7 linked regions of the Macaca mulatta genome follow. The protein of the gene in region 7 interacts with the protein of the main gene of each other region in a biochemical or structural test. Links are inferred from orthologs where the notes say so. Each region holds a gene or a part of one and is shown on either strand. Other genes may lie near its edges. The genes, in order: ERBIN, CEBPB, TGFBR1, ZFYVE9, MECOM, TFE3 and SMAD3.

Region 1 (4,289 bases), on a different chromosome or scaffold from region 7:
AAATCAAGGACTAAATCTAAAATTAGAGGTTTAAAGTCATTTTCAAGTGCTACAATACTGTTTTTATACAAAATTTACTAATAAATAACCATCTTCATAAAGCGATAATTCTCTATAAAGGACTTGCTCTATTAAGGTTTTGTTGCTTTTAAAGCCAAGTATAAGCCATATTAGGAAACTGAAGTTCAATGCCATTTATTTTGTTCAGTTCTTTCAGATGCCCAAGAATAAACTCTTTTGCAGCCTAATGATACGTTCCAAAATCATAAAGTATACGAGTTATGCACTTTAAATTCTTTGATAAAGCTAGTTTGACTTAACAGGAATTACTCGATGGTTCATAAATCTTAACAACAATGAAAAAAAAAATCTCCTGAGACCATGCCCTGGGGAGGAAAAAAAAAAATCAAAACTACTGTAATAAATAAAAGACTGCCTTTGGAGATGTACTTAATGAAGCTGAAGTAGCAAAGAACAAATTGTGAAATAATTTGATCCTGATCTTTAAAACCTATTTTTTCTCTTTGAACTAAAGAAAATCAACTCTCTCTTCGGGTTTCCGGTCATTACGTGAGACAGTACAGGCGATCTAAACATCAATATATATTCAGGATATACCTACCAACAGGTTACCAAATTTATTCAATATATATTCAGAACTACAGTATTGTATTTCACCTCCCTGCACCAAAAAGCTAAACAGAAAAAGACTAAAACACCACTGAAAAAAGCTTTGGGTTTGCTGCTATCAAAACTAGTCCCCATTGGTTCAGAAGTGTTCATAGCTCTGACTGGTGGAATGTCTGCCATGCTTCATGAATCCTGTCCCCACAGATGTAGGCAGAACCTACCACTATTTATGCAGAACCGACCAAAAACATTTGGGCCAACACAAAAATGTAAATACCATACTACTCAAAAAGCATAGCTTTTTATCACAATCACTGTGATTCCCTTGAAAATCGTTTCAAGCGTTTTACTTCCCTTCCCATATAGTCTGTTCTGAACTGCACAGAAGTCCTATCAAACGTCTTACAGGTTGTTGTTATTATTGTTTAATTATGTCTCTCTCTTTATTATTAGTCCTTACTCCTTTTTTCTTCGTAATGGATCAGTTACAAGAAAAGTCTAGTCGATACTTGCTTTCAATTAAACAAGTTATACAGCGCTAAACGTCTGAAAAAAAACAATTACACACAACTAAAGAAATATATTACCCTGAAAAACAACTAAGAATGGCAAGATTTTTTGGTTTCTAAAATCTAACTAAATATACTGATCATAGTTGGAAATAAAACAATAAAAACCTCTATATACGATTAACGCAAGCGCCAATATAATCGGTAGGAGTATAAACAAACGCGGCAGCCATCTCAATAACAGCAAATCACTCGCTGCAGCGACCAAACTTTCTTCTCAAACAGAAGGTACCAGGCTGAGCAACTTAATATACACTCTATACGTTCCAGAAAGCCAAAACTTCTGGCCCCTGGGAACAAAGGCACTCCTTCTTCGGATTGCTGAAAACTTTTTGTCCCACCGCATTCTTACAACCTCTTCCAAAAAATCCAAAGTCCAGATGGTGGGGCGGGGAGGGGGGAGAGGGGAGACAGGGGGGTTGCAGTTCGATTATTTAGCCTCTCAATTATTATCCGCTTCGATATGAAGAGAGGAAGATTTAGGGTAACTTGGAGAAAAGTGAAAAACACTAAAAGATCATCTCTTTTCCAAGTCACAAAGTCCCATGAACTTTGTGACTCAGAGACACTTTTCGTGAAAATTACCTTTCGGCGCGACAGCGTCTCAGGGCAGCTTTTTCAAGGCTTCGCTTGACATGATTTCCTTGCCTTCATTAGTCACTTTGGATCCAGCTGAATTTCTCTCTCGGGTGAGAGCGGATGTGGACTGGCCTCCCGCAGAAGAGTAGGTGGCTTTGGTGGGGGTTGGGGTGCGGGCTGGCTTCCTGGTCTCTAGTTTTGCAGGAGTTTCCCAGCCCCAACTAGGATCTCCGCCGAAAAAAAAAAAAACTTTTCACTCGTGACACTGCCCGGAATTGCAGTGCGAAACTCACTTCCTGCCTTGGCGAGAAGCAGAATCCAGCTCCGTCCAGGGGAACCCGGAAAACCAGCTCAACGCGCACCGGGGAGGGGGAGGGGAAGGGACAGCCGCCGGGAGCCTCGGGCTCCGGGCAACCGGCGCGCCCCGCACACCGGACGGCAACGGCACCCGGCCGGCGGGGGCGAGGACACTGCCCGGGCGCTCGGCGAGCCTCGGCTGCGCTAGGCCGCCACCGCTTCCTCTCTGCCGCCCCCAGAGCCGGGCGGCAGGGTTATTGTCTCGATAGAGCTTGCCGCGCCCTTCGTCCGCGACGCCGCTGCCGCCGCCACCCGGAGCCGGAGCCGAGGAGTCGGGCAGGCTCAATGGCGGCCCCCTGCCCGGGCCGTCCGTCGGGCCGTCCGTCCTTCCGTCCGTCCCTCCCCGCTTTCCCTACTCGCCCTCGAACCCTCTTCTCCCTCTCCCGTTTTCCCGCCGCCGTCCCTCCGCTGCCCTGCTCGTTCTCCTTCCCCAGCGGCGGTGGCTCCCCGAGACGCGCAGGGGGCGGGAGCAGGCGGCAGCTCTGTCTTCTCACGAGCTTGCGGGGCCGCGGCAGGGGCCGAGGCTGCGTCCCGCGCCGCCGCGCCACATTCACTCGGGCGAGAGACCGCGAGGGGAGGGAGGATGGAGGGAGCGGAGAGAAAGGAGGAGGAATGGGGCAGGGGCGGAGGGGAGTTACTGCCTCACAAGCCGCGGCGGCAACAGCGCCACCGCCCCGGCCGCGACGGGTGAAGAGGCTGCGCGCCGCGGCTCCGCGGCGGGGGCGGGGGCGGGGCGGTCTCCCGCCGGCTTCGCCCCAACCGCCAACAGCCGGGCAGGAGGCCGGCGCGGGCCAGTCAGCGCGCGGGGGCGGTGCGGGCCGACGTCGGCGGCGGGGGGCGGTGGGCCGGGGGCTGTGGGAGGGGCAGCCGGCGGCCGTGGGTTCCCGTGAAAGGCGAGCCGTGAGGCCCGCTCCGGCCCAGGCTACCCGAGGCCTGTCTCCCGCCCGCTCCCCGACCCCGCACTCCCCCACTTCTGAGCCCCCCAAGGTGGGGAACGCTGGCGACGCCGACCCTGCTGTCTGCTAGCGGCCCCGCGCCCAGCCAGGGAGATAGCCCACAGGCCTCCGCCGCCCCGGCCGATGGAGTTTCTTTGTACGACAGTAATCGGTGCACAGGGGTTGTTGGAGTCCAGCCCTGATTTGAAGGCAGCAGGTATCTTGCAGCTGCAGCACTCCACCTTCCTCTAATGGCACGCTCAGGTCGCAGGAAACCACAGCGGCAGCGCGGCGCAGCTTCCCACGCCCGCCCTTCGAGCTTGTTCCCCAACGGCGCAGCTCAGCCTCCTCCAAGTCCCAGCCTGACACCGGCGGGGAGACAAAGCTGGCGCTGAGAGGGGAAAAAGGGCCCGCGAAATGGCCTCAAGATCGTGCCTTTGTTAGAGGAAACATGGGTACGCTCCGATGCGACGCAGGCTTCCAACCCCAGCGGTTGGGTGGTGGTGCAGTCGTTGAATTGCACTGGCCCTAATAATTCAGCCTGGCAGGGTTTGCGTTTATTGCGGAGAGAGACTCTTAAGCATTCTGTCAACACATATGGCAAATAGAAAGCCTCAACCATAACATTGTACAGTTTTTGCAGTTCTTGCTTTAAATATGTTCACAGAAAAGACGGCCTTGTTTTACCCAGAGAAGGAGCGTATTGCGGAGCAAACCATTCGCCACCCCCATTCTCTGCTGTACTTAACTGTGTACAGTGATGATAATTAGCCTGTGGGTCCCTGAAGTCTCTGGTTCAGTTCTTCCGTCTGTATTCCAGAGATAATTATTTATTACCAAGTTTGAATAAAGAGCTATATCCCCTACAGACTTTTTTTTTTTTTTTTTTTTGGCTTGCCAATGGAAAGAGTTCGTAAATTCCACCAAGTAATTATTTATCAAAATGAGTTGACGTTAGATACAAACACTTGAAATAACGCCGAAGATATTCAAGTTATTTTATTCAGATTGGGAGCATTTTTAACTACTTGAAGAACTGCTGGAATTAATACAGGTATTAGGTTATTTAGCATAGAGCAGAAGTTGAAGATTTACAGGTAGTACTGAAGTGTTCAGATATATTCAGTGCTGAATTAGAGGTAAGAGTATTCGCTGGAAGCTAGGAAATGACAGTAGCTATGCCAGTGTTACCAAGCTGGATATCTATTTTATGTGAAAA
Region 2 (3,716 bases), on a different chromosome or scaffold from region 7:
AGGGCAAAGCAAAGGGCCCTCTAACCTGAGCCTAGGGAGCAGAGGCGGGCCGGTAGTTAGAGGGCCTTGGGTCTGTGTTCAAGTCCAGGCAGGCCGTTGTCACTTTCCCATCTGTGAAACGGCAGCAGCAAAAGCATCTTCCTGGTGGGGTGAAAAAGAACCTCGGGGTCCAGGCCCACCCTGAGCACAGGGCAGGGACTTGGTAAAAACTTCTCTTTCTCTTTCCTTCTCTGTTTCCTGCATGCCACCCCCCTCCCGTGAGGCCTGGCTTAAGCCCCTCCCCAGCAGCTTCAGAAACAGAAGCTTTTTGGCCTCTGGGGCTGGCAATAGGTCTTAGGGCCCAGATGAGGGCATTTCGTTTGGGATGAATGGGGGACATGCGGCCATGTGACCTTGGTATGCCATGCCATGCTCCCTCTGGGCCTCCACTGGCACAATCCATGGGGGTCCCTTTCTCTCTGATGTGCAGCCCACAACGTAAGCCTTAGGTTTGGGAGTCTGGTGGGAGCAATGCCACCACCGCTGACAGTAGCGACACCCTTCATGGACTGCAGCTGGGAGAAGTGACTCATCCAAGGTCGCACAGTGTGGCAGGGCCCAGGTCGGATGGCGCGGCGCGGGGCAAGAGAAGACCCGGGTGTGTACAAGCCGCAAGCAGGCGGCAGGTGCGGTGGGCGGGGCTAGGGGCGGGACACCGTGGACCAGGGTCCAGCCCCCAGCGCAGCGCGATCCTGCTCCGTCCCCCCGACCCCCGGGGTCCTCATATTGGCGGTGGCTTAAGAGGGGAATCGTCACAGGCGTGGAGTCTACTCCTTTCTAGAGCCGGGGACCTGTGGAAGAGGTGGGAGTTTAGGGGGAAGGGCTACGGAGATGGGTCGCTTCTCCTGGAGCTAGAGTTGCGGGCTGGGGTCTCCAGGGTTCCGCCCGGGGAGCGGCCCCTGGTCCGCCGTCGGGGCTCTGCTCGGTCCTCCTGAAACCTCCGCCTCCTCCAGCAGGGGGCGGGCCGGGGCCGCATCTCCGGGGGAAGGCGATCAGGTCGCCCCCTCCTCCGATTCCCCCGCCTTCCAGGACAGCCTCCAGCCCAGAGGGGCGGTCTGGGGGCGGGGTCGCACCGCCCCCTCTCGCTCCCAATCCCGGGGCGGCCGGGCGGGGGTGGGCAGGGGGCGTGAGGCCGCCCCCTGCGGCCCGGGGACCCCCCCCGAAAACGCGCTCCGGGTGCCCGGTCCCTCCGCTGCGCCCTGCCGCCGTCCTCCTGGGGGTCTCGGGCGGCCGCGGCCGTGTCCTTCGCGTCCCGGCGGCGCGGCGGGAGGGGCCGGTGTGACGCAGCGGTTGCTACGGGCCGCCCTTATAAATAACCGGGCTCAGGAGAAACTTTAGCGAGTCAGAGCCGCGCACGGGACTGGGAAGGGGACCCACCCGAGGGTTCAGCCACCAGCCCCCGCACTAATAGCGGCCACCCCGGCAGCGGCGGCAGCAGCAGCGACGCAGCGGCGACAGCTCAGAGCAGGGAGGCCGCGCCACCTGCGGGCCGGCCGGAGCGGGCAGCCCCAGGCCCCCTCCCCGGGCACCCGCGTTCATGCAACGCCTGGTGGCCTGGGACCCAGCATGTCTCCCCCTGCCGCCGCCGCCTGCCTTTAAATCCATGGAAGTGGCCAACTTCTACTACGAGGCGGACTGCTTGGCTGCTGCGTACGGCGGCAAGGCGGCCCCCGCGGCGCCCCCCGCGGCCAGACCCGGGCCGCGCCCCCCAGCCGGCGAGCTGGGCAGCATCGGCGACCACGAGCGCGCCATCGACTTCAGCCCGTACCTGGAGCCGCTGGGCGCGCCGCAGGCCCCGGCGCCCGCCACGGCCACGGACACCTTCGAGGCGGCTCCGCCCGCGCCCGCCCCCGCGCCCGCCTCCTCCGGGCAGCACCACGACTTCCTCTCCGACCTCTTCTCCGACGACTACGGGGGCAAGAACTGCAAGAAGCCGGCCGAGTACGGCTACGTGAGCCTGGGGCGCCTGGGGGCCGCCAAGGGCGCGCTGCACCCCGGCTGCTTCGCGCCCCTGCACCCGCCACCCCCGCCGCCGCCGCCGCCCGCCGAGCTCAAGGCGGAGCCGGGCTTCGAGCCCGCGGACTGCAAGCGGAAGGAGGAGGCCGGGGCGCCGGGCGGCGGCGCAGGCATGGCGGCGGGCTTCCCGTACGCGCTGCGCGCTTACCTCGGCTACCAGGCGGTGCCGAGCGGCAGCAGCGGGAGCCTCTCCACGTCCTCGTCGTCCAGCCCGCCCGGCACGCCGAGCCCCGCCGACGCCAAGGCGCCCCCGGCCGCCTGCTACGCGGGGGCCGCGCCGCCGCCCTCGCAGGTCAAGAGCAAGGCCAAGAAGACAGTGGACAAGCACAGCGACGAGTACAAGATCCGGCGCGAGCGCAACAACATCGCCGTGCGCAAGAGCCGCGACAAGGCCAAGATGCGCAACCTGGAGACGCAGCACAAGGTCCTGGAGCTCACGGCCGAGAACGAGCGGCTGCAGAAGAAGGTGGAGCAGCTGTCGCGCGAGCTCAGCACCCTGCGGAACTTGTTCAAGCAGCTGCCCGAGCCCCTGCTCGCCTCCTCCGGCCACTGCTAGCGCGGCCCCCGCGCGCGTCCCCCTGCCGGCCGGGGCCGAGACTCCGGGAAGCGCCCGCGCCCGCGCCCCCGCCTCCGCCCCCGGCGGCGCCGGCAAAACTTTGGCACTGGGGCACTTGGCAGCGCGGGGAGCCCGTCGGTAATTTTAATATTTTATTATATATATATATCTATATTTTTGTCCAAACCAACCGCACATGCAGATGGGGCGCCCGCCCGTGGTGTTATTTAAAGAAGAAACGTCTATGTGTACAGATGAATGATAAACTCTCTGCCTCTCCCTCTGCCCCTCTCCAGGCGCCGGCGGGCGGGCCGGTTTCGAAGTTGATGCAATCGGTTTAAACATGGCTGAACGCGTGTGTACACGGGACTGACGCAACCCACGTGTAACTGTCAGCCGGGCCCTGAGTAATCGCTTAAAGATGTTCCTACGGGCTTGTTGCTGTTGATGTTTTGTTTTGTTTTGTTTTTTGGTCTTTTTTTTTGTATTATAAAAAATAATCTATTTCTATGAGAAAAGAGGCGTCTGTATATTTTGGGAATCTTCCGTTTCAAGCATTAAGTAAGAACACTTTTAATAAACTTTTTTTTGAGAATGGTTACAAAGCCTTTTGGGGGCAGTAATTGGCTTTTGTTTTTTTTTGCTTTATTTTGGATTTGTAGGATTTTGTTTTTGCGTTTCTGGTGTGTAGTGGGTTGTGTGTGGGGGGCTGCTGTTATTTTTGGAGGTTTTGGTGGTTGGTGGGGGTGTTGCAGCTGGTTTTTCTGCCTCCTCTGCTACACCCTCCCCCCACCCACAGGGTCTGCTTGGAGATGGGGTTCCAGCCCTGGGGGAAAGGGGAGAAGAGTAATGGGTCAGGCTTTCAGGCTAACTCAGAGCTCCTGGGCGCCGGGACCGGTGGCTGGGAACCCTGCTTGAGAAGAGATTCCGGGACCTCTGACTGGTCCCGAGTGTCAGGCTTGGGTTTGGAAGGGCTGGGAGGTCTGTGACCCCTGCCCTGTGTTTGGGGACTAGATAGGCAGGCCTGTGACTGTAGGAGGAGGGGTTCAGGTCTTGGTCCTGCTGAGCCCGAGTCAGGGCAGATGCTTTTAGTAAGTGTAGTTGG
Region 3 (3,500 bases), on a different chromosome or scaffold from region 7:
AAGGATTTATAATGAATAGAAGGGAAACAGATGGCATTTTCTGCTATTATTCACCAGAAGATGGCTTCTGCCTAGATAGGTTTGTAGAGAATTCAGTACACAATGAACTATGACAGGTAAAGGAGGCCTTAAACTAAGTTTTGTACAATGTAGTCAACTGATAATGTATGTTAGATTTTTCTTCCAAGTATGTTTTCAATAAGAGCAACACTTGTCATTTGGACATAACTTCACAATTTACCAAGCGCTTTCATGCCAACATTTTGTCTTGCTTGAACTCACAACAACCCAATGATGTGCACAAAGCAGACTCCATCACTTTCATTTTAAAGATGAAATAACTCAAGCATGAGACATTGGTTAACTGCCCAAAGCTACAGAGCTAGCAAGCAATGCAGACAAGTTTTTGCAGGGTAAGTCATAAAAAGAGGGAGAGAAGCTTTCAGAGAACAGAGAGCTATGGTCCCTCATGGATCTAGAAATATATATATATATATATATAATGGAAACAGAATTATTCTGTTCTTTTTCATGTTTATCTCTTAAAAGGTTAATGAAGATATTCTTATTCAGTAATCAACTATCACCCACCCACCAATTCCTTTAATCAATTAGGTGGGCTTATTCCACTGTGGCAAGTGGCATGAGCTGCTCTCTTTCCGGAGTGTAAGTTTAGAAACAAGACAACAGGTCTGAGGCATTAATTCCAAATGATCTGAAGCCATCCTGATTTTCTGTGACTCTGGTCCTTGATTATCACAGTCTTGAGCAGGATTACTTCTAGAATGAACAAAATCTTTTTGAAGATCTGAACTGAGAATAAATGGGAAGTCCCAGGAAAGCTCTAAAATAACCTCCGTCCACCACTCCTGCCCAAAGACTATCACACCTTCAGTACTAAGATGGCTCCATCTAAGTCCGAACTCTCATTGTCTTCCTTACACAACTGTTTCAGGAATCCCTAAGCTTGCCTTCTGATCTGAGCTCCAGTGCAAGCCTGTATGTGTCCTAGTAGTCAAAGAGAGAGTTCTCTTATTGAATACATACGGCCAAATTCTACAGAAGAATAATTCAGGTAATAAAATCAGTTTCTTAAATGAATAGATATGCATACATAACAATATATATTCATTTCCTTAAAATAAATAGACATTTGTCATTATATGAGCTTTCTGCAACATTAGATGTGATTTTATGCTCAATTTCTGCTTTAATATTCCTTTAATATCACTCAGTTATAAAATTAGTGAATTTTTTTTTTGAGATGGAGTCTCACTCTATTGCCCAGGCTGGAGTGCAGTGGCACGATCTCAGCTAATTGCAACCTCCACCTCCCAGGTTCAGGCGAGTCTCCTGCCTCAGCCTCCCGAGTAGCTGGGACTACAGGCGCATGCCACTATGCCCGGCTAATTTTTTTGTATTCTTAGTAGAGATGGGGTTTCACCAAAATTAGTGAAATTTTCACTATATACGCTTTCCAAATTTTCACTTTATTCATGAATTTAGCCCTTATTTAAAGACGACTCATACTTTTCAAAGGATAGTATATCTCATTTAAAAGTCTTAACAAACCACTTGAAGTGTTTTTATCAGCAGTATGGGTTCCATATTTTTGATGAGGAAACAGAAGCCCAAAGAGGAAACATGTTTTAACCAAGGTTATACAGCCAATCAGCAACAAAACTTGCCTTGGAACCTAGATCTATTTATCCTTAGCCAAGTGTCAAATTCTAAAAACACAGGGGATAGGAGTGTTCCTCTCTTAATACTTTTCCAAACCATATACAAAAAAAAGTAGAAGATAACGCCCCTTCAGTTTAAACATGAAGCACTGCTATGCCAAAATCCACCTTGGGATGACTCTGACAATTAGCTCATCTACTTCTGATGCCACAAATATCAACAAATAGAACTGGGAAAAGCAAATCTCATTAGGGGCCAAAACTACATTAAATAAGAAGGTGATTAGACATTTTTCTGAAGTGAGAAAATGACGTAAGAGTTCATTAGTTTAATTTTAAAAAACCAGGCCTATACAAAAGACAATTTCATATAATGTTTAAAAAGCAAATAACCTTCACAATTCTGAATAAATTTTTATCATGCCTGTTTTCAAATATAAACATCAGGCTGCTAAACAATCCTGAATAGAACGGGTTAGTTGCAGATCATTTGAACATCTTTGAACTTCGGTTTCATCCATATGAGAATAATTGTTCTTATCCTTTCTACCTCACAGTGATGAAAAGCAAATTAGATCATACAAGTGAGAACGCTTTGAAATTTATACCACCGGAGCTGACTGACTTGCTTTATCAGTTAAAGTAAGTTCCAATCTATTTTAAACCAGCCACAGTCATATACACATCAAGCTTAAAGATTTTTATTAGTTTCAAACCTGGAATATTATTTATATTATCTCACATTCTAACAAGTTGGCTTATTAGCAAACTAATAAAATAAGTATCACTTAATTTTAAAAAGACGTCTTAGGAAAAAGGAGAAACAATTACATTACCTGAGCCAGAACCTGATGTTGTCATATCATAAATTAAGTCTTTCAACGTAGTACCCTCTGAAATAAAAGGACGATCTAATGAAGGGTCCTCTTCATTTGGCACTCGATGGTGAATGACAGTGCGGTTGTGGCAGATATACACCATCAACATGAGTGAGATGCAGACAAAGCACACTGGTCCAGCAATGACAGCTGCCAGTTCCACGGGACCAAGGCCAGGTGATGACTTTACTGAAAAAGGGCCTTGAGTGAAATAAACATCAACAACAACAAAAACACTGTAGGTGGCAACCCCCATTTTCCTAATCCTACACAATTGCTGCAGCTGGCCACTGCCACCACATAGCCAAAGAGCCTCATTACAGCAGTTTATAGGGCTCAAACCCAGAACAAGTGAATCATTCAGTCTTCTCCTACTAGGCCTCCTTTCATGCACACCAGCTCTGTCAGCACCCACTTACTCCTTCTGTACTCTTCAGCCATCATTACAAGGCCAGCTGCTACCAATATCATAGTACCTTCCCCACTTATCACATCAGGTCAGTAATACCAATAACTTGTAACAATACCCATTAACGTCTCCTTAAAAATCATATATATTTTTAAAAGTGTGTTTGACTTGTCTTCTTGTTCCAAGGCCAGTACATGCTCATAGCAGGAAAAACAAACAAAAATATCAAAACAAACAAACAAACACACACATACATCTTCATCACTCCCAAACAACTCACATTTTAGTATTTATATCTCCACCAATTTTTTTTTTTTTTTTTTTGAGACAGAGTTTCACTCTTGTTGCCCAGGTTGGAGTATAGTGGTATGATGTTGGCTCACTGCAACCTCCGCCTCCCGGGTTCAAGCAGTTCTCCTGCCTGAGCCTCTCAGGTAGCTGGGATTACAGGCATGTGCCACCATACCTGGTTAATTTTTGTATCTTAGTAGAGACAGGTTTCACCATGTTGCTCAAGGCTAGTCTCGAACT
Region 4 (4,297 bases), on a different chromosome or scaffold from region 7:
CTCCACCCGCAGAAAAACCAGTATCACCCCGGACCCTTGCAATCGACGACCACAAGCCTTTAAGGGGTTATGTTATAGTTGAGGAGATGTTATCTTGACCACCAAATATCAGGGCTGGACCTCCTTAGAGGGTTGCACCACCCTAAAACCCTACCTCCACTTCACCAAAGGAACCACCCCCTCAAATTGCCAAAACCACCAGTGCAACCCAGTACTTCTCTCTATTCCTATCCCCACCTCCACCGACCGTATCCCCACTTTAGAGCGCCTTTATGGCCTAGGAGCGGATGTCACTGCAAAAGACCCTACAGGCATCTTTGAAATGAGGTTTGCTCCTCCTCCTCCATCTCCCTCCATTACTCACTTCCCAAAACCACAAAAATCAAACCATTTCTCGCTTCATGTCTAATGACAAAACCAAAGTAGCTATAGTAGAAGTAAAGGATTTACAGCAAACCCTAGCCATAGAAACCGGTTATCAAGATGTAAATGCCTAGCTGGAATGGATTAAATATTCCATTCACACCCTAAATAAAACCGATTGTTACGCTTGTGCAACAGGCAGGCCAGAAACCCAAATTGTTCCCCTCCCACTCAGATGGGCCAACCCATCAGGCAAAGACTGTATGGTAGCTCTCTTCCAGCACCTCACAGCCTGGGGAAACAAGTCATGTGCCACTCTTTCACTACTTTTCCCAAAAGTCAGGAGCCCTATGGGACAGCCCCCAAGGGACATTCGACTTCCTGCTCTCAATGCCAATTTTACCTTGTGTCTCTTACAACAAGGGGAAAATTTGACATTCCTTGGAAACCTGATGGGATGCAGTGGACCTAAACCTTTTCAAGAGCTAACCAATCAGTCAGCCCCAGTCCATCCCCAAGTGGATGTATAGTGGTATAGAGGGGGACCAATATTTGGAACACTGCCAAGCAACTGGAGTGGCACTTGTGCTCTGATCCAATTGGCCATCCCTTTCACCTTGGCATTTCATCAGGAAGCAGGTAACCAGAAGAAAAAAAGAAGCCCCAATAAATGGGTCCTTTGACCCCCAAGTTTACATAGACAGCATCGGGGTCCTGCAGAGGGTACCAAATGAATTCAAAGCTCAAAACCAAATACCCACCAGGTTCGAGTCTATATTATTCTGGTAGTCCACTATAAACAAAAATGTAGACTGGATACATTACATATACTACAATCAGCAGCAATTCATCAATTATACCAGAGATGCCATAAAAGGAATTGCTGAAATTAGACCCCACCAGCCAGATGGCCTGGGAAAATAGAATAACCCTTGACATGGTGTTGGCCAAAAAAGGTGAAGTCTATGTCATGATCAGGGTCCAGTGTTTTATTTTATTCCTAATAATACAGCCCCCGACGGGACAATCATAAAAGCCTTACAAGGCCTTACCATCCTAGCAAATGAACTAGCCGAAAACTCTGGAATAGACGACCCCTTTACAGGACTAATGGAAAGGTGGTCTGGAAAATGGAAAGGACTCATGACCTCAATCTTTACCTTCCTTGCAATTGTTAGAGGTGTACTCATCCTTGTGGGTTGCTGTATCATACCCTGTATTTGTGGGTTAACCCAAAGGCTCACAGAAGCAGCTCTCACAAAAACCTCCCCAACCTCTCCCCCTCTGTACTCAGATAAGCTCTTGCACCTAGATAATCAAGAAGAACAACATAGCCAGATCCTGTTAAAGAAACTTGAAGATGAAGAACTATAAGACAGAAGAGGGGAGATTGTTGGTACAACTGAGTTCCTCTTCAAAGACTCAACTTCCTGGTCATAAGTTGTAAACAATCCTACCCCCTCTTCTGTTAAGCCTAACCATTTCTTCTTTACCCACCCTGCCCCTTCACAAATCACACATTTACCTTATTTGGAAAAGTTTAAGCCTTAGCCAGTGAGGATCAGCTTAGATTATGCAGTCCAACTCCAGTCAATAGGGGAAAGACACAGAAACAGGAACTGTGTTAGGGTTAAAAGCCCCTTCCTTCCTTCCTTTGTTCGGTGTGCTCCTGCATTTGTAACAGGAGTGAACAGCACCCTTCTGCAGAAGTAAAAGTGCCTTGCTGAGAAAATTTCTGTCTTAAGTGCAGGTTTCTTTTGGCTACACCAAGCACTTGTTTCCAACACAGATACTGGGGGTTCACACCCTTAAATAATCTTAAGACTTGAAAAAAAACAACATGACTCCTAGTTAGGAAAAAGTCAAGGGTTCCTGCTCTACAAGAATACTTCCAATTTTCTGCTGGAAATTATTGCTCTACATAATAACTTATCTAAAAATACAAAATAAAATAATGTAATTAACTTTACATTTCTGATTCCCCATCCCCAAATCAGCTTTACTTGTTTAGCTCTTGCATGAGCTAAAATATTGCTCAAAGTCATATTTTTTTCTGAAATTACCTTTCTATACTCAACTAACTCTAAAACGAAGGAGCCAGCACTGGTAGGGAAATTAACATTGTGACCACTGTGACATAAAATAACAGTGATTTTTAAATACCCTTTTCCTCTGAATTTAAGTCAAATCTTTTTGAAGAAAATCATACTCCTGATTTAATAAGATACAATGTTACAAATGAAGCAAATAACATATATGCATCAGTATTATCTTCTATAGATCTCATTGGTTTCTCAAGTTCAATCTCTAAGAGAAATAAAAACATTTTCTTACCTTTTTCCCCTTACACACGTGATAAGGAACAGACTTCTCGGTGCTTACTCATGCTTGCTGCACCACCAGCCAGTCCTGCTGATTCAGTATGCTCTGTTTGATCCTAAATGAAAAACACATTGCTCATTACACTTGATGAAACAATAAACCCTAATTTTCTTCATATAAATCTATCATAGCCAGACAAACAAAAGCAATGGGGCTTGAACAGTAAATACAATTATACCTTTGGATTCAAAGACCTGGCTTGCATGCAAGGCAGCAACAGAGACATTTTATTGTCTGAAAAGGCCAAAAGTTAAATGTTTCAACAAAGAAGAGTTTTTGCACGTTTATTTTCAATGGATAATGCAAAGTGAAACATCAACAGCAGGCACTTTCTACCCAATGACTTCAATTGTGTTAATTCATAAGTATATAATTTGCCTTATAATGGGCCCTCCAAGAATCCAAAGCTAAGAAAACTGCTGCTTCACAAGAATGTCCTTCTAGCGCGATTTTTTTTCAATACATACAGAATTCTTAAGTTGAGTTTCACAAGTTTCTTGTTGTGATTTTTACTGCCAAACTATTTTTTTCTCCAAATGGAGTCTCTTCATTCCAGTCCTCCTCCAACTGCTTAGAAGCAATGGATCTATTAACCCAATATTAACCTTCCCTATCAGGGGTGTATGCAAAAGACAAAGGCTCTTCAAATATTACTACCCTCTTGTGAAAATATGACAATATCCATTAAGTTATGGTAGCCCAACTATAACTGCTTAGAGACAATGTAAAATTCTTTAAGGGCCTAATTTAGCCTTGAACAAGATTAGTAGTTGAAGCTAATCAGAATAAAACTAAGACTATGAATATTATATTATCAGTATAAAATATCTAACACATAATCATAGTATTTTCAGAACAGGTAAGTATATTGGAGATAATTTAATGAACACAGATAAACTGTGTTAAAGATAAACTGAGGCAGCAAGAAAAATTTCCTGACATTACAAATATTCTATTATCAGACGTGAAAATGATGTGCTTAATAAAAAATAAGAGAATAAGAAAAAGACCTAAAATTCAAGTTTCCAAGACCCAATAAAGAATAAAGAATGAAAATCACTGGTAAAAGATTTCCCTGTCTTGAGAACTAGAAAAATATGCATGCTATGATATACTCTAAATGAGAAGAGCTACTGACACTAAGAAACAGATTTATATCTATTAAATAAAGGACTAAGTCATATCAGAAGTATGAAAGTATAAAAATACAAACCAAGGTCAAAATGAGAAAGAAAGTAAAGTAACCACCCCTCTAATATCTAGCTAATTAAAGATTTTCTTAAACAAAATTAACTCTATAGATTCAAGGTCAAATCATATATACAGTTTTTCAATATTGTGAGGCAAGTCCAATAATACAACAGATAATTTTATATATCAACTTGACTGAGACATGGGGTACTCAAATTAAATACTATTTCTGGGTATGTCTGTGAGGGTGTTTCTGGATGAGATTAGCATTTGAATCAGTGTACTGAATAAAACAGATTGCCCTCCCCAATGTGACCAGACATGATCCAATCCATTGAGGACGTGAATAAAACAAGGCTTG
Region 5 (3,500 bases), on a different chromosome or scaffold from region 7:
TAACAACACCTCATCTTCAACTTCTTCATCATCCAGTAAGTCTGAATTTTGACTGGTCACCAAAGCCTTTTCATCTTTAAAATGACTGCCATTCATTCTTTCAAAAGCATTAAAAAAAAAAGTCCAATTGTTGGTTTCACTTTTAAAATCGTAATTTGTTTCTTTATTATGTCTTCCCAACAACAGTTTAGATTTCCAACACTTACACAGGAAATTTTTTATTGTTTATGCTCTATGTCAACCATGAAAAAATAATGTGACCTCACAAATGGGAAGATAAAGAAAAAAATAATTGTATGATTGTTCAGATTATAAATGAAGCCTCTGGCAGAACCCAAGAAACAATCTTGGTCTCCTATTTCTTATCAGACTTTGCTTGATAATTGACATTTCTATATATATCATATAAAAAGGCACACAAATACATTCTCAGCACAATTTACCTAATTACCATATAAGTACCCGCCATTTAAAATAATAGATTCCTGGAAAACTCATATCACTCATGGGCAGTAGCTTCAATACATATGCCTAAAGTGAATCTAAAAGTCCAAAGACAATCTTAAAGTAGCTGCCAAGAAACAACTAGATGACATTTATATTGTATTCCACTTAGCCACTCTATCCAAATTTGGAAGTAATTGAGAGCTCACTTATTTGTACTATTTTCAAATTATTTTTTACAGTCTGAATGTGAAATAGTTCCTTGTTTCTCAGGGAAACACCAGGGTGGAAAAAGCTCAGGTATCAACAATTCACCCCCATCACTTTCCCACATAACAAAAATGAGTATAATTTAATATTCAGATTTCTCAGCATTAAAAAATAAATAAAACAATCTTGGATGTGACAAAAACAGATAGTAAGAATCCATTTGACCAGAAAAAGTCATATCATTATTAAGTTTTTAATATAAATAATCTCTTAACCTCTTTTATCAAAGAATGGTGAAAATTTATACACAGACATAAATTAGTTTCCAAATACACTGCCAACTTGCTTGCATGAGTGGATTAAAATTTTTATTTAAAAAAAAATGAAAGAAAAAAATAAAAGAACAAAAGAGTACATGGGTGAAAATCAAAAGTAACAAAAGCCAACATAATTAAGAAAATCTATTTGTTAATTAAGTTTTCAAATGTGGCAATTTGCAGGGAATGAATTATTCATCAAAAGTAGCCTGACAGGAGTTCAGGGGAAAAACTTAGATGACTCAACCTTCTTACTTCTGTGCTGTTTAGACATGTTGAAGCCAGATGTTGCAGCTATACAGGTTCACAAATCGCCAATTAAAGGCTAGAAAATTTGAATAGGCATCTCAGAACCCAAATGGTGTGTTTTGCTCAACGGTTCTTACTTGCATCAAGTAAATATCATTATCAAAGTGTAAGATTGTTACTGTTTCTTGCTTGTTCTTGCTACTTTGTCCTTCTGATCACCTACTTCCCCTCTCCCTTTTACAGACAGACAGACAGACAGAAACACACACACAAATGGGCGAGTAAAGGGAAAGATACATCCAACTGCACACTGGTGTGGTTATCAGATTTCTGAGAGACTGGAAGGGTCTTTTTTCTTGTTTTTCTTAGACACACTTTTACACAGGTTGAAGAACAGAAGTGGTCTTTTTTTGGTTATTTTAGTAAAAAATGTTTATTTGATGCTTGCCTTGAAGAAATTACATAAAATAATTAAGTTTGACTTTTAATAACATCAAAAATAGAGGACACTAACCCAAAAATACTTGCATGACGAAAAATAATGGAACTTTCAACTAATGTCATGTTTTTTTTAAAATTTACAATGCAGCATCCTAATTTAATAGGTCACTATATAGTTATGTCCAGAAAAGTCTACTTCTCAACAACAGATATTTAATATAGCTTATAGATAAGAAAAATTAAATCCAGTAGTTTTGGTGAAATTGTGTTTCATTAACTTCATATGCAATGTGAAGTGCTGGGTAACTGTTAAGTATTATCATTAACAGCATTAAAAGCTTTTTAAAATGAATTAAGCTATTCATGCTTAATGTTGATGATGACAAAAGGAGCCAGTGCATCAGGTCGGTAAAAACAAGGATGGTCATACCCACTGAAATAAACAGACCAGAATTAAATGAGTAGTCACTTAAGAGGACATAAAGTAGCAATAGAATCTTAAGAAGACTAAAAAAGTTTCTATGTAAAATATATTTGGGGGAAACTCCATGGGTATTTCATATATAAATGCATACATACATATGTACTATAATATGTATATTACATATATACAGAATATACATATACGTATATAGGTATAATACATATATAGAGAGAATCATATATTACCTGTAATATATATAAATTTATAATGTATAATAGTAATCAGTATTGATCAGTGATTCAACTGAATCCCTGTGATGGCCTTTTCTTCTACTTCTGAAATTTTGATAACAGATTCTATTCAGCTATCAATTAGGTAAATCCTGGTAAAATTATGGGCTCTGGAACCAGACAGCTAAGGTTGAATCCCATTGACTACTTATGTGACCTCTGACACAACAGTTTAAGCTTCAATGTCTCCGTTCCTTCACTGCTAAAATTACAGTGGCTGTCTCACAGGGTTATCATGAAATTAAATTAATTAATACATGTAAAATGCTTGGAAGCACATGTGGTATTTAATATGTACTAAATATATACCAGTCTTTGGTGACTGAAGTAATAGTTGTGCCACAAAAGTGAGCATACAAAGTATATTTTAAAACATATTCATTTCAGTCGTCACAGAGTTTAAAGAGTAAAAAACAGCTTTACCTCTCCTCCACATTCCTGGGAGACTGACTGCTGTGGTTGCTGTTCCCAATGAAATTTCGAATTTCTGTGAAGTAAGCATCTTCTTTGTCATCCAGAATCGCACCTGTACTTTCCAGTTCAGAATGAGGCGACGATGTTGCTGTACCTGCGTGGAGCAGAAAGCCTTTTATAACAAAGATTATTGTTTATCTAGCTACTTATTTGGAAACTCACTCCTTATGAATTTGATCAGTGTTATTTCTTCAAACATGCCCTATGAATATTAATAACTTTAGGAGGTCTTCAGCTTCCTTGGCCATGAAACGCGAGACTCACAATACCTGTATCACAGGATTGATGTAAGGCTTACATAAACTTAATCAACTATAAACACTTTGTATGTGGTTGAGCTTTACACCAACATTAGCTTCCTGTTGTTTATCTTGTCTACAAAGTATCTATAGTATAATAGTTCATCACAATAGTCTATATGACAAAAACAAGAGGTTAAAACATCCCCTCACCTAAAAGAGGTTATAATCTAACATCCTCTCACCTAAAAGAGGTCAACAAGTATTAACGTTGACGTGTTACACGTTTAACTATTTTTCCTAAAATAACTTTGATAAGAAAATTATAGTTGTCTGATCTAAGGGTACACACAGTTAGACAGTGTGGTCAGTTCTGCATATTGGATTATACTTCTGTACCTAAAATCTAATA
Region 6 (3,983 bases), on a different chromosome or scaffold from region 7:
CCTCCTTTCCCCTCCCCACTGTGTTACTCATAGTCCCTTAAGAGTCAGAATAATAAGAACGCCTGCATCCCAGCCCCCACACTGTAACAACCTAGGTTTGAGGAAAACAGAATTTAGGAATAACAATTCACTTTATAGAAGGATTCCTGACTTCCTATCAGAGTTCTCCCAGCCCCCATACCCACCTACTTTTTTTTTTTTTTTTTTTTTAGACAAAGTCTTGCTCTGTCGCCAGGCTGGAATACAGTGGTGTGATCTCGGCTCACTGCAACCTCTGCCCCTTGGGTTCAAGTGATTCTCGTGCCTCAGCCTCCCGAGTAGCTGGGATTACAGGCACACATCACCACCTCCAGCTAATTTTTGTATTTTTAGTAGAGACAGGGTTCCACCATGTTGGCCAGGATGGTCTCGATCTCCTGACCTCATGATCCGCCTGCCTCGGCCTCCCAAAGTGCTGGGATTACAGGCGTGAGCCACTGCGCCCGGCCAACCCCCTAATATTTTCTTTACAGCTGAATTTGAGCCCAGGTATATGTGTATGTACACACACACACACACACAGAGCAAGTAGGGGCACCCCTCAGCATAACAGTCCCTTGTAACACAGACTGAATGCATCACAAAGAGAACCGGGAATAATTCACTTGACATAAAGTCAAGTGAAATTTGTGAAAACCCATTTCACAAATGAGTTTCTCCCAGCCCCAGTTAGAGTTCATGGGATGCCAACACATGCCCAAATATAAAATAGAAATATCAAAGGCTCCCCTCACTCCAACAGACTGGATTTACAAGAGGGAGAATTTGGGTGGTTGATCCACTTTATACAAGCATTCTTTTCTTAGCCGGAGGAGCTTGCCCAGCCTTCTGTTTTTTTGGATAGATCAAAACACACACACACCTCCAACACCAATACCCACTGGCATACAAAATAAGAAGCCATATACACCCCTCCCTTTAACTATGTCCACTACTGCGATGATCTAGGTTGTTACAGAGGAATTAGAAGATGGTGAATCAATATACAGAAAGGCTCTGCTCAGCCCCAGAGAGCAAGGGACAGTTAACACACACGTGGATGAATATGCATCCTTCAATTTAGCCAAACATTTAGAATGCTGAGAGATTGCTGGTGACTTCACTTGACAAGAATCCTCTCCCCTCCCCAAGGATCTGTCTTCCTTCCTCTCCTCACCCTCAGATGGAGCCCTAAAACCACCCAGGAAGTGGGGAAGAGGAAGCTCGGGGGAGCCACTGAGCTCAGCACAATCCCAGGCACAAAGGAGGCAAAGAGCCCCGTCACCACCAAGGCTCACACACCCATTGCACAGAAGTTGGAAGAGATGGGCACTGGGGTGATCAGGGAGGGCTGGGGCTCCAAAGCCCATTGATAAAAGTAAGGATGAGAAGAGGCCAGAGGGGATCCACCCAGGCAGGGATGGTGCAATCTGTACTCGTTCCAGCTCTATGGACAGATTACCCCCAGAAGCTCAGAGATCGAAAAGAAGATAAAAAGAAAAGGGGTGTGGGGCTAGGTAGTGGGAAGGGCTGAGAGGCTAGAACGAGTAGCAGCATGAACAAGAGCCTCCTCTGGGTTCCCAAACAAGGTCTGAGGCCTTCTCTGAGCTAAGAGGTAACAAACATCATCGCCCTCTGTCTGGCTGTCTGTCTCCCATTCAGGCCCTTAACAGGTGTGGGAAGAGGGCTTTTCCACTATCCTTGGGATCTGCCCCAGCTGGGTGGGCGGGCAGGGGGGAAAGGATTATTCAGGCCAAGTCTTGCTGAATGTTGTTGCTTCTCTTGTTCATTCACACGCACTCACAAGGCTGGTCCCAGGCAGCATATCTGAGATACCTCCAAATCCCTCCAGATTCATGTTATCCCCAAACACAGCAACCAGTCACTGAGAGGCACCAAGCTCCCAGGACAGCACTTGTGTCCCTCAGGACCCCTTCTCCCACACTGAGGGAAAAAGATTCCAGGATTCCCTTAAAACCAGTGCCTCACCTGACAGTGTCCCCTCAAATTCATTCCCCTCATGTCCAACTGAAAACCCCCGAATTCAGCCTCTAATCAGAGTCCCAGTCTGCCAAGTTCAGCTATCTCAGACCAGTTTCTGGATACTCCAGAATAGGCCCCTCTAGACACAGTCAAGGGCTCCCCAAACCTGACCCAGACCCCGTTTAATGCACTCCCACGACTCCTTTAATAAAGCCACGATCCAAGCAGGCCACTGCCGGATTCCTTAGGTGCCCCCCCAAGACGGGCGCCCCGACGTCCTCCAAGGCTAGGCCGAGGGCCTCCAATCCCAGTCCGGGGCCCCCGCTGCCCCCCAGATCAGGCCCCTGGGAGCCCCAGTCGGCACTCCCGGCCCCAGGCGGCACCGCACCTGAGCAGCTGAGCCGAGTCGGCCGGCCTGCGCTCCTCCAACAGCACGAACACGGCTCGAGGGCCCTCCGCGCTGGCCTCTACGCCATCCCGAGGTGGCTCGGCCGCATGAGACATGACGCCCGGCCCCGGGCGAGCCCTGCCAGGCCGGTCGGGCCTCGGCCCGGTCCCCCTAACAAAATAAGAGTCCCCCTCCCCCCAGCTCGCCACCGCCTCCTCCTCCGCTAAGCCATGGAGCTAGCACTGCGCGGGCGGGCGGCGTCGGGGAGATGGGATGGGCCGTGAGTCATCCCCCGCCCAGAAGGGACCGACGCCCCCCCCAACCTAACCCCGGACGACCGCCCTCCTCCCCTCGTCTTCTTCCCCCTCCTCCCTCCTCCCTCCTCCCAGGGATGGGGAAACTCCACAGGAAGTGACCGCACTGGGGATGGACTGCCCGTCTGGCCACGACCCATTAGCCAGGCGGCCAATCGCGGAACGGCGATTTGAGGGCCCGCCCTAAGCGACGCCTCCGACGCGAAGGAAAAACGCGATTCGGCCCGCCCTCCTTCCGAGAAGAGGCACCCAGACCACGCCCTCAGGGGCAGCGACAAATAGGCGAGGGGTGATTTGGTTGAGCCACGCCTCTATGTTTGCGTCGGTTTCGGAGCCACGCCCCCTCTTCTCAAATTATCCCTCTGCAAGATAATATTATTAAGCCGCTCCTTGGGTCCTCTGCGCCTGCGCATCGATGGCCAGTCGGCGCACGGAGGGGCTCCTGGCCAACTTTTAGTTGCGGAACTGCGCCCTCTCTCGGCCAATATTTGTAATATCTGAGCCCTAGACCGCGCTCCAACCTCGATCTAGCTGTGCTCTCTCAGCCAAAGCCATAACTATGAGGCAGAGGCAGCTACATTCCCTGGAGATGCGGACCAGAAACCCGGCCCTTTCGGTATCCTCAGTCCAACCGCCCAGCTGGTCTTCCGGGAGTACTCTGCCTGTTCCATGCCATCGAGAGCGGTTGTTGTACTATGTTCGTTGCGCTGCGCAACATGTGCTTAATAAATTCTTGACGGGTGGATGAATCTGGTCCCTTCGGTGAATGACGACTTCTGGAATCACAAAGATCCAGGTTTGAACAGGGAAGGGGACCTTCCCTCTCCCAGCCTCAGCTTTCCTGGCCTGTTAAATGGGAGTCAAAATACCTTTCTGGCAGGGTTGTTCTACGGTATGAAAGGTGCTAGCAGGTTGTTTGGCATACAAGAAGTTTCCCAAAATTAGTTGATTCACTCATTTGTTCACTTATTCAACATTCACTGAGCGCTTCTGTATGCCAGACGCATGCAATCCGGCTTGCACACGGCGGAGGGTCTCACCCATATCCTCAGGTGCACATAGCTCACAAAACACCCAGACCCACAGCCTTCCCTTCCTCTTTCTTTCTTTTTTTTTTTTTTCCAGGCTTAATTCACTTTATTTTTCTTGTATAAAAACCCTATGTTGTAGCCACAGCTGGAGCCTGGGTCCGCTGCACGGAGACTCTGGTGTGGGTCTTGACAAGGTGGTCAGTGAATTCCTGATAGGGAGACTTGGTAAATACAGTCTCCTTCCAGAGG
Region 7 (3,500 bases):
ATGCCACCCAGAATAAGTATCTTTTTTGAAGTAAAAGACAAAAAGCAAAATGGGGAGAACGGGTCTGGTAGTGGGGGCTGTCTGTCACTGACAATGAGGTCTCTGAGAGCCATTCCCTACCCTTCCCCACCCCTAGACATCAGGCCCCTCTCCTAGAAAATGACAGCACAGACCTAGGCCTGTGGCCTCCAAACTTTTCTTCTCTTCACTACAGAATCAATCCTCTCTTCAAACGAAGGCTTCTGTGAGAGCCCGAGATATAAAGCAAGCGAATGCAGAGGTGCCCTGGTTCACGTGGGGCCAGGCTTCCCTTTGCTAACCTGCCCAGCTCCTGAATTTGCCCCAGGAACCCTTCGCCAACCCTTGGGGCTCCAGGACGAGGTCTGAGAAAACGTCACTCTGCCATCTCTCCACAGCCCTTCTAAGTTCTCACAGTTGTGTTCTGGATGGTAAAATCCTCTAAGCATGATAACTTCATAAGCAAACCAAGCGATACGTAACACAGCTTCATCTTCCTTAAACTCACAGAGTCATCTTTTACTTATGTTCTGCGGGCTCGAAGGCAGAAGGTTCACAGTAGTGGTGTTTGGATAGTGGACAATTCTTTTCTACCTTTTCTAAATTGTCTAGAATAATGATACATAAAAATAAGAAAAGATCACTCTTCCAACGACGACTGCCTACTTATCAACCTATCCATCTGCACTTTCAAACTCTTTTTATTAACAGGATTTCAGCCGGGCTTGGTGGCTCACGCCTCTAATCCCAGCACTTTGGGAGGCCGAGGCGGGTGGATCACCTGAGGTCAAGAGTTGGAGACCAGCCTGACCAACATGGAGAAACCCCATCTCTACTAAAAATATAAAAATTAGCCGGGCGTGGTGGTTGGGTGCCTGCAATCCCAGCTACTTGAGAGGCTGAGGCAGGAGAATCGCTTGAACCCGGGAGGCAGAGGTTGCAGTGAGCTGAGATTGTGCCATTGCACTCCAGCCTGGATAGAGTGAAACTCTGTCTCAAAAAAAAAAAAAAGATTTCATATGTTGCCTTTCTCATAGACATTCCCTTCTCGATCCCTTAAGTATTTTCCTCTGTGGCTTCCAGGTTTTCTGAGATTATATCTTTGAGTGGGAATGATTAAGTGGCCTGAACACTACCTGTCTGGCCCCTAAACAGGGCAACAGGGAATGTGGGGGCCTTGCTGGGGCGGTGAGTCTTCCCCCATGCCCAGCAGGAGGCAGAGCACAGCTAAGGATGGAGGCAAGGTTCCCTGCAGAGGCTGTGTGTTCGGGCCTGGGGCTGGGGGCGCGATAGAGTGGCAGGGGCAGGGTGGGGGCGGGGAATGGAGCCACCCCATACCGATGTGTCTCCGCGTCAGCTCCACTGCTGCATTCCTGTTGACGTTGGAGAGCAGCCCGAGGCAGAAGCGCTCCGAATTGGAGGGGTCGGTGAAGCCGTCCACAGTCATGGATGGCTGCGAGGCGTGGAACGTCTCCCCGACACGCTGGTTCAGCTCGTAGTAGGAGATGGAGCACCAGAAGGCCGGCTCGCAGTAGGTAACTGGCTGCAGGTCTGTGGACACAGGGCGGGCTACTGGGTCAGTGGGTGCCCCAAGCCCCATGCTGCCTCGATGGGGTCCCATGGACGCTCTGGAGAACCATTTCCCCACATTTCAGAGGGATTAATAGTCTCCCCACCTGGTGCCTTTTATCGTATAAAACTGGCAGCACCCACCAGAACAAGATGCTCAGGTGTCCGGAGGAGATTCCGTCAGCCTTGCCACACTGTGTGTGTAAAGGGCCATTGATTTCTTTTTTTTTTTTTTAAGCTCATAGAGGCCCTGCCCCGCCTGCTTGGCCTTGACTGGATGGAAGGAGTCTTCAAGCAGGGGCTGGGCCAAACCTGAAGAGGACCAGGGGCCACCCAGTACCTGGATGAACCTGGGACAGCCACTGCAGTGTGTCCACTGTGGGGCAGTCCACACCTCCCGCACAGTCACCTCTCAGCCTCTCTTGCAAGGTTCCTACAGTAACCACCATTAATCCCTGCCCCTAAAAGGGCTTTCAGGTTTTGGCTCTGCACAGCCCTGGGGGCAAACTCCCAGCCTGTGGAGCAGCAGCTTCCAAGCCTGCAGCAGCCGAGTGGGCTCCCAATAGGGCCCCGTGTCAGCGCAGTGGACACACCAGGATCGTCCGCAGACTGAGCCTGGAGCCTTGCCTCTTATCACAGAAACCATTTTCCACACTTATCTACATGCCGGCTGCTGGGGTGGCTGGGACACAAACCCATCTGAAAGAAAATCTGGATTTGTCCCAGTTGTCTGTGTAGTCTCCATATGGGGCTCCTCAAAGCAAAACTGCCATCCTGCGAGGGGCTGGTTCTCTTTCTCAGAAGAGTAAATGGCAGCTTCTCCTTACACTGGAAATGGATCCCAGCCTTCCATTTCCTGGGGCCTCCTTGCCCTCCTCTTGCCCCAGCCCAGCGGCCCTGGCGCTGTGCCCTCCTACTGCACGCCTCTGCAGCATCTCCAGGTCCATACTCTCAGCCCTTGGCCGGGCCCTCGGAATTCCCACTCACACCGATGCCACAGCCTCTGGACCAGGACTGCCCTGCGCCCTGGGCCAACCACTTGCAGCTGCTTCTCTGTGCTGCACTGACTGCTGGGCACGAGCCCTTGGCCTGCCACGCTCTGCTTGATGCCTACCTGAATCCCATCCATCTGCTGAAGAATCAGGGAGTCCCCTGCTCATTCTCACTCTTCCATCTCAAAGCTTCAGCCTGGCTCTGAAGTCCCTCTGGCTCTTAAATATACCTGGAGCCACGCAGTGACTAAGGGTGTGCCTCTATGTGAGCATCCTGACTGTCCAACTCGACCATGAGGTCCCAGGGCCCAGGCTGACATCTCTCTTCCCTCACTTTAACCCTCAGCGCAGGGCTCTGTTGAGGGGGGAACAGGAGAGGCTCCCCGTGCCGTCGCCCTGGCCTGAGAACCCTGCTCAATGGATACCAGGCAACGTCTAGGAGGGGGAAACCACCGGGGGCACCCCCGCTCATTAGACCTTCTGAAAGTGTGTAAAGCCCAAGAGAGAAAAGTCAGAAGCTGTTCTGCCCACAGGAAGGGGTCTGGTTGCCTGCAGGACAAAGAGTCCCTGATCCCCTTATGGGGTCTAGGCACATGATCCCTTCTAAAAGCAAGGAGAATGCTACCACGAACAGAGAAGGGGCAGGCCAGTAACACCCCTGCACTCCACACACGCCCAGGAAGTCAGCTGGAGGGTTAGGACACCCTAGGTCAGGTTTTTCAACTTCAGCACTACTGACATTTGGGGCCAGATAATTCTTTGTTGGGTAGGTGGGTGGGAGGGAGCGTGTGTAGATTGTAGGATGTTTACCAGCATTCTGACCCCTGCCCACTAGGTGCTAGCAGTATACATCCATACCACCCTCTCAAATTGTGGCAATAAAAGAAGGCTGTGGATATTGCCAGATGTATTCTAGAGGGC

Evidence for each region.
Region 1: the proteins of SMAD3 (region 7) and ERBIN form a complex in vitro, tested with the Homo sapiens proteins (2 studies listed by BioGRID). The link is inferred for Macaca mulatta from reciprocal best matches to the Homo sapiens genes SMAD3 and ERBIN.
Region 2: the proteins of SMAD3 (region 7) and CEBPB form a complex in vitro, tested with the Homo sapiens proteins (2 studies listed by BioGRID and IntAct). The link is inferred for Macaca mulatta from reciprocal best matches to the Homo sapiens genes SMAD3 and CEBPB.
Region 3: the proteins of SMAD3 (region 7) and TGFBR1 form a complex in vitro, tested with the Homo sapiens proteins (2 studies listed by BioGRID, with this or other methods). The link is inferred for Macaca mulatta from reciprocal best matches to the Homo sapiens genes SMAD3 and TGFBR1.
Region 4: the proteins of SMAD3 (region 7) and ZFYVE9 form a complex in vitro, tested with the Homo sapiens proteins (2 studies listed by BioGRID and IntAct, with this or other methods). The link is inferred for Macaca mulatta from reciprocal best matches to the Homo sapiens genes SMAD3 and ZFYVE9.
Region 5: the proteins of SMAD3 (region 7) and MECOM form a complex in vitro, tested with the Homo sapiens proteins (2 studies listed by BioGRID). The link is inferred for Macaca mulatta from reciprocal best matches to the Homo sapiens genes SMAD3 and MECOM.
Region 6: the proteins of SMAD3 (region 7) and TFE3 form a complex in vitro, tested with the Homo sapiens proteins (2 studies listed by BioGRID). The link is inferred for Macaca mulatta from reciprocal best matches to the Homo sapiens genes SMAD3 and TFE3.

What each region holds. Positions count from the first base shown.
Region 1 is NC_133411.1:74,026,755-74,031,043, reverse strand, and holds the start of ERBIN (erbin), read right to left. Parts: upstream 2,801-4,289; 5' UTR 1,785-2,800; intron 1-1,784. UniProt on the Homo sapiens protein: Acts as an adapter for the receptor ERBB2, in epithelia. By binding the unphosphorylated 'Tyr-1248' of receptor ERBB2, it may contribute to stabilize this unphosphorylated state.
Region 2 is NC_133415.1:103,041,722-103,045,437, forward strand, and holds CEBPB (CCAAT/enhancer-binding protein beta), read left to right. Parts: upstream 1-1,375; 5' UTR 1,376-1,576; coding exon 1,577-2,611; 3' UTR 2,612-3,216; downstream 3,217-3,716. UniProt on the Homo sapiens protein: Important transcription factor regulating the expression of genes involved in immune and inflammatory responses. Also plays a significant role in adipogenesis, as well as in the gluconeogenic pathway, liver regeneration, and hematopoiesis.
Region 3 is NC_133420.1:59,272,219-59,275,718, forward strand, and holds part of TGFBR1 (TGF-beta receptor type-1), read right to left. Parts: intron 2,762-3,500; coding exon 2,519-2,761; intron 1-2,518. UniProt on the Homo sapiens protein: Transmembrane serine/threonine kinase forming with the TGF-beta type II serine/threonine kinase receptor, TGFBR2, the non-promiscuous receptor for the TGF-beta cytokines TGFB1, TGFB2 and TGFB3.
Region 4 is NC_133406.1:188,440,105-188,444,401, forward strand, and holds the start of ZFYVE9 (zinc finger FYVE domain-containing protein 9), read right to left. Parts: upstream 2,801-4,297; 5' UTR 2,698-2,800; intron 1-2,697. UniProt on the Homo sapiens protein: Early endosomal protein that functions to recruit SMAD2/SMAD3 to intracellular membranes and to the TGF-beta receptor.
Region 5 is NC_133407.1:80,795,392-80,798,891, forward strand, and holds part of MECOM (histone-lysine N-methyltransferase MECOM), read right to left. Parts: intron 2,944-3,500; coding exon 2,799-2,943; intron 98-2,798; coding exon 1-97.
Region 6 is NC_133426.1:49,118,436-49,122,418, forward strand, and holds the start of TFE3 (transcription factor E3), read right to left. Parts: upstream 2,801-3,983; 5' UTR 2,506-2,800; coding exon 2,390-2,505; intron 1-2,389. UniProt on the Homo sapiens protein: Transcription factor that acts as a master regulator of lysosomal biogenesis and immune response.
Region 7 is NC_133412.1:44,704,587-44,708,086, reverse strand, and holds part of SMAD3 (mothers against decapentaplegic homolog 3), read right to left. Parts: intron 1,570-3,500; coding exon 1,357-1,569; intron 1-1,356. UniProt on the Homo sapiens protein: Receptor-regulated SMAD (R-SMAD) that is an intracellular signal transducer and transcriptional modulator activated by TGF-beta (transforming growth factor) and activin type 1 receptor kinases.